Linked DNA regions of Saccharomyces cerevisiae S288C. The gene in region 3 interacts genetically with the main gene of each other region. Each region holds a gene or a part of one and is shown on either strand. Other genes may lie near its edges.

Region 1 (3,617 bases), on a different chromosome or scaffold from region 3:
TGGAGTTTCCGAGTCATTACGGGTCCTTTTGTTTTCGTGTATGCTCCCTTCCCCGTAAGAAGTATACGTAGGAAGTGCGGTCTGCGCTGGACAGTATAAAACGGAAACAGGAGTCATCGAGGGGCTCCGGATTTTTTTTTCTTTTTTTAGCATTTAGCCTAATTGCACATTGTGAATAGATTGCCGTAGTAGAAAAAAGCCTTAGGAGTAGATAGCATACGGCAACAGAACTACAAAAAAAAAAAAAAGAGATTTGATGTCTTTTTTTTTTTTTTGGGTGGTTTTTAGGACAATGAAAGAAGAGGTGTGCGATGTATGTAGGTTTTCAAATGTCTTTAATATTACAAAATAATTTATGTCTGGAAGAATGATAAATAGAAACAAAGTAAAAAAAAATTGATATTAATCCGGCGTGGGTTTTAGTGTATGTTAAACAGACAATAAAATGGACGGGCAGAAAAGAATGGGGTAATAATACAATCAACTTACTCAACTGTTGATGCGCCTAAGTTTAGTTGTATAGAACAAACTTAGCTTTGCCAGCAGTAACGGAAACGGTACAACCGTCAGAGCCACCGCTGAAGCTACCGTTTTCATAGATACATTCACCGTTGACTGTAGAAGAGTCATCAGCGGCGACAATTTTGACATTGAAATTCAATGCGTTACCGTTGTTTGGGTTGGGAATCAAAGAAAGGTAGGCGACACCATCAGAAGAACCAGCGCCAAAGTTCAATGGAGCCCAATTACCGACGCCTGAACTTGAAGAACCCCAAACACAAGCATCTTCGACAGAAATACCGGCATTGTTAACGTAGTATTGCGCGGATGTCTTCAATCCTTGCCAAGTGTAGTAGGTGTCCTGATCAACGACAGTCAAGGGTAAAGAGTCACCTGCTTGCACATATGTAGGAATCACCATGTTTTCGGTACCCGGGTAATCGGTCCTGCAGATAGCAACATCGTTGCTCAATTCAGAGACGACGTAAGCGGCATCAACGCCCCATTCGCATAAATAGTCAGTATCTGTATTTGAACGGTACAGGTAGCCGTCCTTACATAGCAAACCACCAATGGATCTGCCGTCAGATGGTTGGTCAGAAGGCCATTGTGTCTTGGACATACCTGGTTGGCAAGCGTATGAGCAGTAAGACCCTTCTTTACAAGAGCCACCCGTAGAAGTGTCAGTATTTTCAACACCAGACCAGCCACCTTCATCTAACCAGCTGATGGGGATAACACCTTGACCAGATGGAAATTGGCCGCAAGGAATGGTACCGTCTTCAAATTTTTCATATGGACCTGAAAAGTCAGCCAAATCACCGTAGATACTTCCAGTTGCACTGGAAGCTGCTGAAGATGTGGAAGCTGACCCAGATGTGGAAATAGGCACAGAGGATTCGCTAGTAGAAGTTTCTGAAGATGTCAGAGTTGTTTGAGCCGAAGACGAGGTGGTAGCGATTTGTTCAGTACTCTCAGAAGAAGAAGCAACTTTGGAAGAAGACTTGGTGACCGAAGATTCGGAAATCAGAGTAGTAGTGGAAGCAACTGTAGAAGAGGCTTCAGTTGAGGTTGGAGTGACGGTCTGACCATTTTTATCGACAGTGACTGTTTCGTAAACGTATGTAACTGCAACGGCCCTCTTATGCTGGTGTGAACCATGAGCAGTAGTAGTACATCCTGTGTCAATATCAGCCGCATACGGCAAAGCGGAAACGATTGTGCTATAACCGATCAATGAAGCCGCGGTAAGAGTGGTGGCGGACAGTTTCATTTTATCAAATTACTAAAATAAATTTGGGATGGGTTAGTAAATAAAATCATTGCGAAAAGAGTAGGATTGCAAATTTTCTAAGATTAGTGCTAATTGAATCAATCAATATTGTTTTAGTTTCTACAATGGCTATATCTCGAGAAGTCAGAAACTTATTTTCGCGCCGTAAATCCGACGGCCAAAAAAGCCAAAAAGAAGTTGTGCACGGAAAAATAACGGGCATGTAAAAATTTGCTTTATTCTCGAAAAATGACGATGCACCGAAGCGAAAAAAGCACAGCAATTTCGTAATCAGTGGAATAATTTGCAAACTCAAAATATAGTAACATGAAAGGTCTTATCATTAAATTAAACATACGACTTGTAAAAAAGTAAAAAAAAAAAATGCTTAAAGGAGTGAAAATTAGTTGGAAGAGTTCTTTTCTTCGGCGAAAAAGGAGTGTAGAGTAGTTGGATAATGGTAAAAGAACGAATCGATCTTTCCTTTTCTTGCTATAAAGTTGAAATTGAATATAGTGAATAATACGGCGATTATATTTAAAATACGTGTGATAGTACTATTTTTTTTGGGGAAACTACTGTTATTTTTCTCGAAAGTAAGTGTTTAAATAAGATTCATGCTGAAGGGAACGTGCGAGAAAAAAATCCGAGATCTGGAAAAGTCATTGTTTATAAACTTCGCGCTGTGCAGGTTCCTTTCGCTGCCTTCCACTGCGCTTTGTTTACTTTTCCTATAAAAAAAAACGTTGTCGTTTACGTCCTAATAGAGAAAAGAGATGCTTCTGTTCAGTTTAACCAGTATTAAACCAGCATATATGTCGGGTAACCATATTTTTATGTTTTCATTTCGAAACTTGCTGGTACACCCAGATATCATTTTGATTTAAAGCAATAGCCGAAGAACAAGAGAAAGCTACGGGTATGATTGCAAGACTCAAGAAAAAAGAAAATCATTTGTAACGTATTAGAGAATATTTATTTTTTAGTGTTTCTTTCCTTTACCAAAAAATATGCAATTAGCATCAATAGAAGAAAAAACAAAAGCAATTTGAGAAAACGTAAAGTGGCTCTTTATTTCAATGAGCACTAGCAACGTTTCCCCTTGACAGCATTCCCTAGAGAGCCTGTCAATTCATCATTGGAAGTGAGGCACATCCAATGACAAAGAACCTCAGTCTTTACATAATACTAAATAAAAAAGTAGGAATAATGTACATATTTAAGCGCCTCTAAGCGCAAAGACACTTTTTTGTTCCATTTACATGTCTTCGACAATGAAACCCTTGTGGGAAACGTAGATACCATCCAAAAACTTACGGATATCCTTGTTTCTAACACGACAGATTTGTTGCAAGTCAGCGGCATTTTGGGAAACGTCTTCAACAGAGTTACCAGATAAGACGATTTCGTCCTTTACGTTAGTAGAGAATTCGATAGTAACACCATCTCTAACTGGGACGTTTCTGATCTTCTTGTCACCCAAAAAGTTTCTGACTTCAATGAATTTAGCACCATCCTTTTCAACAATGTTGACGTTGATTGGGAAATGCGCGTAGACGTATCTCATCTTGTACTTGTAACCCTTGGTGACACCAGTGATCATGTTGTCAACCAAAGATTTAACGGTTCTCAAAGCGGCAACGTGCTTTCTGTCACCGTTGTGAACAGCAACCTTGATCAATTGGTTGTTGACCTTGGTGAAGGTAACATCAATATGCTTCAAGTTCTTGGTCAAAGTACCTCTTGGACCGACAACCTTGACGATTCTGGACTTAATGCTGACAGTAACACCTTCTGGGATTTCAATTTGTTGTTCGGTTTGAATGTACTTCATCTTTAGTGA
Region 2 (3,733 bases), on a different chromosome or scaffold from region 3:
TTTCCTGATGAAGAAGAGACCAGAAAGCACGTAGAGGATTGCATACAGAGAGCTGAAAATGCCCAACAACATACGAATACGTCAGATGCAGCAGATGACTCCGTAAAAGAAAGCCCTGCCTTTCAAAATAGAATGTTAGTGTACAAGATATCGCCTAATACAACAGATAATGCAATTAAGGAGTGCCCGATTTGTTTTGAGAATATGGAACCCGGTGAGAAAGTTGGGAGACTAGAATGCTTGTGTGTTTTCCATTATAAGTGTATTAAGAACTGGTTTCACAAAAGGGCGCAAATGACTGCAGCCCAGAAGGGAAATGGACATGCTTTTGTTAAAAGGAACTTTTGTCCTTTCCATGATGCCGTATTTTAACGATAACTCCCAATTTGCTTTTCATTACAAAGTTTAATTTTTCAGCTGTTAATAATCGAAGTTTTAACTTCCCTTTTCTTTTATTTTTTTCTTTAATTGTAAAAGATTTCTATATATTTGTTTAATTATGATCTTATATATTCATTAATATTTACTTTGAGGTGTTCCCTCACCTATGAATAAACAGACACTTCCTGGTTCTTTAAGTCCATCGGAGTCATGGCTACTATATGGATAGTGATGTTACGTACGGAGGATATATATACATATCGTGCATTATTCTACTTCACTGAATAAGTCACTATCCAAATCCTCTGGTACATCACTATAATGCTCATCTTCACTCGATGAAGATCCATCATCGCTCATTGCACCATCTTTCCCTTGACCTTCACCCTGTTCTTCTGCTCTAGCTTTTCTTCTTTCCAATTTACGTTGCTTTTTAGCATCTTTAACAGCCTTTTTTTTAGCAATGTTTTCTTCTTGTTCCTTTCTTCTTTGTTCCTTCAGCCTCATTTTTGCAGCGTGTCTCTTTTCTAAGGCTTTGATTTCTTCGCTTGATTTTTGAACAAATTCATGATGTAATACTTTACCTGAACAAATACCATCTTCTATTTTGACCAGTTTTAGAGTTAATCTTGGTCCTAATTCAGTCAGTTTGATAGCCTTCTTACGTGGAGTTGGTTGCGAATTTTCTGAAGGCTTAGGTTCCTCCATTTCCACATCTTCTTCTTCAATTCCTTTTTCACGTTCTTCGTTATCTGTCATTTTAACGGGTGTTTTTTGCGACAGCGAAGTTTGAGAATGTTTTGCCTTCACGTCCTGATTATCAACCACTCTCACAATAGCGTCATCTTCAATTTCAGATTCTGATGTATAGGCGCCTAAGTCATGATCTAATATCAAAGAAGAAATATCTTCTTTTCGATGCAAATTCGGCACTGTTTTACTTAGATTATTTTTGGCTTTATAAAGCCTTTTTAGATTTCTAGAGATCTCTACTTCTCGAATGTCAATAAAATAGTGGCGCATAGAAATTTCCCCCGTTTCTCTGTCTTTATTGATCATAAATATACGTTTGATAGAATTCAACGAAGTTCTTGCAGGATTCAGAGGTGGGAAAATATTCTGGAACATGGAAACAATAACCTTCTCCACGTTTACATCCTGATCGTCTTCATCAGATCTTTTCGATGTGGAAAACCCATTTAACACTAGCAATGGAGGATTTAATACATCATCATTATTTAACGATTTAGGTCTCTTCAAAAATTTTTTGATATCTCTACCCAGTGAATAGTCCAATACTTGAAAAGTAACAGTAGGACCTTGTGGAGTTCTAGCTATCTTTAGCGAGACATTTCCTGTTTTTTCAGATTGAGTGAACATGAAAAGATGCGTAACACCTAATGGGCCACACATAACAACAAAATCCTTCAGTTTATTGGACTTGCGCTCTTTTAGTTTTACGGCCGTATGCGGTTGCATGATCTGGCGAAAATCCTTTACTAATTGGTTTAGAGAATGGTTAGCCAATGAAGTTTGTCCCACTCTGATTACCATGGATTTAGGAATATCTCGTTCCTGCTCGGGTGTGATCTGCGCATGCGTTCTCTTTTTCTGCCTTCTTTTAGCCATTAGTTCCAAAATATCTAAGGTATGTGCGGGATGGTGACCTAGCAGCTGCAATTTAGTCGAATATTAGCTAGACTAGTTTATTTTGCCTATTTAATATCATTCATACAAGCCCGTCGATGAGATGCATCTACACTAAAAAATTGCAAAATCGTCCAAGATGATAGATAATGACTGAACTAACAGTCTGGAGTATTGCAAGTGCTTAGGTCTGTTTGGCAAAATTTTTGAAAATATTACTGAACCATTAGCAAGCTGTAATAGAACTAAAGCACCATTACTGATTTATTTTGACGAATCGTTTGCTAATTTTCAGCCACATCACATGCTGAAATATTTCCCGTTTGTTTCTTGTTTGTTTCACAAGCCATTCGCGCGCGTTTTCACGTTAAATGTTTTATTTACACGCACGGCTGCATCAGTGCAGCACAGCGTTAATCGAGTCCCGCGTTTTTCTATTGTTTACATAGAGACTAAAGACCAAAAAGGAAGAATACACACAATTAAGTTTTATGTAATATGTAACATGCAGTAAATAGATGAAAAATATGAATGTAAAAAGTGGTAACAACTGGAGAGCCTTTATATTTCTAGTTCGAATTGTTGTTATATTCGTTGAAGTACTCATCGTACTTATGAGTAGCCAAAGTAATGGAGTTCAAAACTGGCTTCAAATAGGCGGTACATGTGTTTGACATAGATTCACCATCACCATTAAGGACGTCTTGAAATAGCTCATTCAGCTTTTCAATACAGTCCTTCAAATGATTATAAAGTTTTTTGACGGTACTGGCTTGCTTTTGTTCACCGCTCTGAAAATGAATATAAAAGTGCTTTAGAAATTCACAGCACGTTGTGTGTAGCATTCTACAACTTTCTAATAGGTCTATTGGTAGGGTACTTTTCACCTCTAATTCATTTGCTTGAGAAGTGTTGTCGACAAAAGAGCCGAGTGCTGAATTAACATTGTTATGCTTAGCCTGTTTGGCGTTAATCTTGATTGCAGTTATGACTCTTTTATTGATCTTGTTGCTGACTTCGTTGTTAGGAACTACTTGGTTCAAGTCTAGCTTATTAATTAAATTATCCATGACCAATGACAACTGTTGTAACATTTGTTGATTAGAAACCTTCAAATCTGCATTCTTTATCGAGTCTGCCGAGCTTTTCGCATCGTTGTCGGTTGTCTTTTCATGTGCGTTCCTTTTCAGATGTATGATTGCATAGTTTGTCTTGTAGCTTTCGTTTAAGTCATCGATTTTCAGTTCATTTCTTTCATCATTATCTTCATCTTCCTCATCGTTTGTAATATTAGATTTGTTCTGTAGATTTGTCCTTGAATACTCATTCTTCAAAGCCATAATCATTTTTTCACTCAATCTATTCATACCCTTTAAGATGTCCACGGTACCATCGCTATTACCATTAATATCCACACCTGGCTGCATAGTGAAGTCGGGCCTGTTGCCTCGTACAACTGGGTCGTCCTGTATGTTACCATCTAAATCTATAATTTTTTTCACAGGATGCAATAGCATGTCATCATCTTTTCTGTCGAACTCTTGATCCAATGTCAAGTACCTGTCAATGATTACGTCACCTCTATCATTTTGCATGATCTTTTCACCCCTTAATTTTCTGAATAACTTCGAAGAGAAGAACCTTGCCCAGAACTCTGGTTCTTTGAAATTTTTGGGCACATTATCAGTGTAAGCTTTCTTTACAA
Region 3 (4,066 bases):
TCGTTATAACTTCTTCACTAGTCTTCATCACCATGGGTATATCATTAACTACATGTAATTTAGGAGCATTATTTGAACTGATTGGGGCCACTACGGCATCGACTATGGCTTACATTTTGCCGCCATACACAAATTTGTTGTTAACTAGTAAGAAGAAGAGTTGGAAGGAAAGGCTTCCTTTCTATCTTTGTATATGCTTTGGTTTCATGATTATGATAATCAGCAGCACCCAAACTATTATTGATGCAGTTAATGGTTCTGATGGACAGCACTGCCAAATATAGGGTATTTTTTCTTTCTGCTGGGTTTTAAAAAACTAGTTTAGTTACCTCATTGGAACTCAAATATTTATCCACTTTGGATAGTATATACGTCAAATTCTTTTGGTATTTTATCGCCGAGAAGTCGGTAGAGCCAGCATCAGATGCAAAGCCATGCAAAGACTGATATAAAGACTGTTATACCAAATGTTATGATATGTTCTTGACTATGTAGTAGCTATATGTGCATGTATGAAATTATTTGGGTGAGATAATATTAATCTTTCCTATCTTTACTGCTTGTAAAGTGCGTAAAGAATTTATTTTTCAAAAAACTTTCTTCCTTTTCCTCAATTTCAAAGGTGTTTTTACTTTCCAAATGATCATTGCCTTCAAGAGCAATAGAATCTGTTAGTTTATGATTTCTCAACATGAATGCGCAACCTAACAAAGGAAAGCAGAATACCAAACCTATGATACATAAAATCTTTTGAACATAGCGGTAAGACATGACTAAAGCTATTCTTTCTGGTGTTCCCCAGGTATAAGTTGTAATGAATGTAAATGGAGAACCGTACGCTTGTGCAGCTAAGGTTGGATCGGAAATTCTTTTTGAAATTTCTTTGGGTAGGATATTAGTCCAGACAGCTCCGCTAACAGAACTACCAAATGCAGAACCAATATTATAAGTGGCAAGGTATAATGAGGTTACTACCGCCATTCTTGCATGAGTTTTAGCGGATGCTTGGATGGAAGCTTGAGTCACATAGGTAAATGAACCTGCACCGAAACCTAATAGACACAAAGAGCCAATGATACCGGAATGAGCACCGGAGTCACCACGGTAATGGACCAGCAAACCAAATGAGACGATCCAACAAGAAATGCCAAATATAATAAAAGGCTTAGTCCTTCTAACTTTAATCAGTATGAACCCGAGGATTGTACCAACGATAACAGAAACAAATGAATACAAGGAGGTAATTCTTGTAGCGGACTTTATGGATTCATGAACTGCAACGACTAGTACAGTATACATGTAATCACCTTGCATATACCAGTTAAAATTGATAAAGAATGCGATGAGTAGAGCGAAAAAGATACCTCTATCTTGAATCAAGTCCCAAGGTGTCAATGGATGTCTCGAGTACTTTATTTCCCATAGCATGTACAGTGGTAACACTACAACCCAACCAATGACTTCAGGGACAATAATATGCGCAGTTTTCCATTCCTCTTTCAAACCACCCGCTAAGGTGAATGGAACCAATACACACCCGAAAAATACAGTAATTAATAACATTCCAATGATATCCAATTTCCAAAATGCGATGTCTATACAAAAGGACTTCCACTTCAATTTGTTTAGCGCTTCGAACTCGGGCTTCAATCTATCTTTAGCATGCTTTCTTGCTAAATACCTCATGTGCAACATACAAATTCCAAGCGGAATACAAGCTAGCGGCAGTATAAAAGCCCACATACCAATACCCCATTTCCAATTAGCATCTATGGCACTTGTTACGTTCCCGCTAATCCAGGTGTTGATGATAAATGGTAAAGCTGGAATGAATAAGGCTAACAACCTCCAGTTCAAGTTGGAAAAGTCAGAAGCAATAACTTCCAAAATTAGAATAATACCGGTAAGACCCAATTGGTAAAAACAACCACCAACTGCAAATCTTGTAATATTCACCGCTTGCGACTCAATGATGGTCCCCATGCTATAAAAAATGATACTGACAATCATAATGGAAAATCTGCCGAAGATATCTGATAATCTGGCAAAGAAGATCTGGCCTACAGCCGCAATAACCGTCTTAATACAGTTGACGGTCGATAGCAGCGAGTGCTGGGAGTACGACGAAGTCGCGTACGCCTGGAAAGTGTAACGGATATTACCATCTAATCCGTAAGCATAGGCAATGAGGAAAAGTGAGAAGAATAATGCGACACGGTAGATCGGGCGGTTGTACATTTCTGCGTAAATCTCGATGTTATGCACACCTGGATCTATCAATTCAATGTAAGAAGGTGCTGGAGAAGATGTGGTTAGCGTTGGCTTGACATCGACCTTGGCTCCTACTTCCTTTTCCAGCATCTCGGGAACGACAACCTCTTCAAATTCCTCGGGGAGGGTATGATTAGCAATACCAGGGTCCATTATGGAAAAATTTTCGTACTGGGTCTTTAACAGTTCTTTTACAAAGCACTACGATGTTCTAGCCTCATCGGTGATGGACGGTGTCCATTGCTTATATAGTATCTGCAAATCATCGCATCACAAAAGTAAATTAAAGGATCACGGATGAGCACTACTAATTATGGCAAAAGACGAACCAGATTGCACCCTCAAATGTGTTCTTTACGGCACATTGTAAACGATGAACTTCGGGGTCTTCCCAGCAGATAAGTTTCTTAAAATGCACCTGGATTAAGCTGCAAGTCATTCTGTGCCTGCGCCGTACGGCGCTTGCGATTAAATCGGAGAACAAACTATGAAAAGCCAATAAGAAACTATTTCACTGGGAAAAAGTGGGAAAAAAGCTTCGCAAGTGAGCCTATAGAAGCTAGAGTTATCTCTATACACAGTAGTCTACATTACACAGCGGTTTCAGTATCCGTTTCTCTTGTAAAGAACCTTATCTGTCTTGTAAGCCACTTTGGTGTACAGCAACTGTGCGCGGTGATTGTAATGGTCTGTAACCCAGTACACTGCAGGCGTACCGAGCTCATCGGCACGGCTGTATACAAATTCTATGAGCTTTCTACCTACGCCTTTGACTCTTGCGCGTTCAGTGACATATAAGTCATTCATGTAGACAACTTCTTCGACATGCCACGACGTCAAATGGTTCAGGTAGTGTGCAAAGCCAATTGCATCGCCGGTCTCGGTGTCAAAGGCTAGAGCACCCCATAGTTTGACCGTAGGGTCTATAAACCTTGCGAAGGTAGTGGTGGCTACTTCCGGAGGCATAACCGTTTTTTGGAAACCCTGATACTCCTTCCACAGTTTGTTCCAGGCTTCCTCATCTTTTGGCTCGATGGCCTTCACCACAATTCGATCGTTAACCATTTTTTCCGGTTCTTCGTTTGACATGCCTACGTTCTTCGTGCTTGCAAAAGGTGGAGATGGGTCTGGGGTCTTTTTCATTAGTCTGCACTCATCTATTTTATATGCCCGTTTTCCGCTTTTAAATATCTTGTCGCAACACTCTCCAGTATACTGTTCGCGAAGGTTTCCGCCTGATAACGATTTAATAACCGGATTGGGAAATATACGATGCGGTCAATTGGTGAAAAAGGCCTTACGCAGAGTATGCAATGTACCGCCTGATCATCAGCTGATCGCTTCAGTGCGATCGATTGGATATGCTAGAGTAGCATTCGTGTTTTGTACGTGTACGTCTGAATGTCGGGATAATTTGCAGAGTGTGACAAGAACTTCAGGCCATCAAACAACAATTAGTCAACCATGCACAGATATACAGTCAACACGGAAGTGCTCGACCATTTTTGTCTCTGCTGTTATGCAAACGGGAACTATAACTTTCTTCTGGACGTTCCATTTCCCCATCCCCTTACAACGCATAGTAAACCAAAAGCAGCCACCGCCTCAATCCTACGTTTAATACAAAAGTGAAGAACTACAATGGTTTAATTCTACTAGACGGCATGCTAACCTGAAAAACTCAAGCATTTTTATCTTTTCAGTCGGTCGTAGCTCTCCAACGGTTGTTTTTTCACAGTATATACTTTTTCATATTATCAGGCGAAAGATACGAGAAAGCCAAAATCAGGCACAT

What was found.
Region 1: mutations in SIT1 (region 3) and SUN4 together harm fitness more than expected from each alone (negative genetic interaction), as found in Saccharomyces cerevisiae (2 studies listed by BioGRID).
Region 2: mutations in SIT1 (region 3) and SSF2 together harm fitness more than expected from each alone (negative genetic interaction), as found in Saccharomyces cerevisiae (2 studies listed by BioGRID).

The regions. Positions count from the first base shown.
Region 1 is NC_001146.8:499,672-503,288, reverse strand, and holds SUN4 (putative glucosidase SUN4), read right to left. Parts: upstream 1,775-3,617; coding exon 512-1,774; downstream 1-511. Other genes in the region: 60S ribosomal protein uL6 RPL9B, read right to left, coding at 3,033-3,608. UniProt on the Saccharomyces cerevisiae protein: Involved in the remodeling of the cell wall during the various phases of yeast culture development and under various environmental conditions and plays a role in septation.
Region 2 is NC_001136.10:1,085,858-1,089,590, reverse strand, and holds SSF2 (rRNA-binding ribosome biosynthesis protein), read right to left. Parts: upstream 2,011-3,733; coding exon 649-2,010; downstream 1-648. Other genes in the region: PIB1 (phosphatidylinositol-3-phosphate-binding ubiquitin-protein ligase), read left to right, coding at 1-372; TFIIH/NER complex subunit TFB1, read right to left, coding at 2,598-3,733. UniProt on the Saccharomyces cerevisiae protein: Required for biogenesis of the 60S ribosomal subunit.
Region 3 is NC_001137.3:26,015-30,080, reverse strand, and holds SIT1 (siderophore transporter), read right to left. Parts: upstream 2,425-4,066; coding exon 538-2,424; downstream 1-537. Other genes in the region: AVT2 (Avt2p), read left to right, coding at 1-284; HPA3 (D-amino-acid N-acetyltransferase), read right to left, coding at 2,875-3,360; YEL067C (uncharacterized protein), read left to right, coding at 3,305-3,892. UniProt on the Saccharomyces cerevisiae protein: Involved in the transport of siderophore ferrioxamine B and so has a role in iron homeostasis.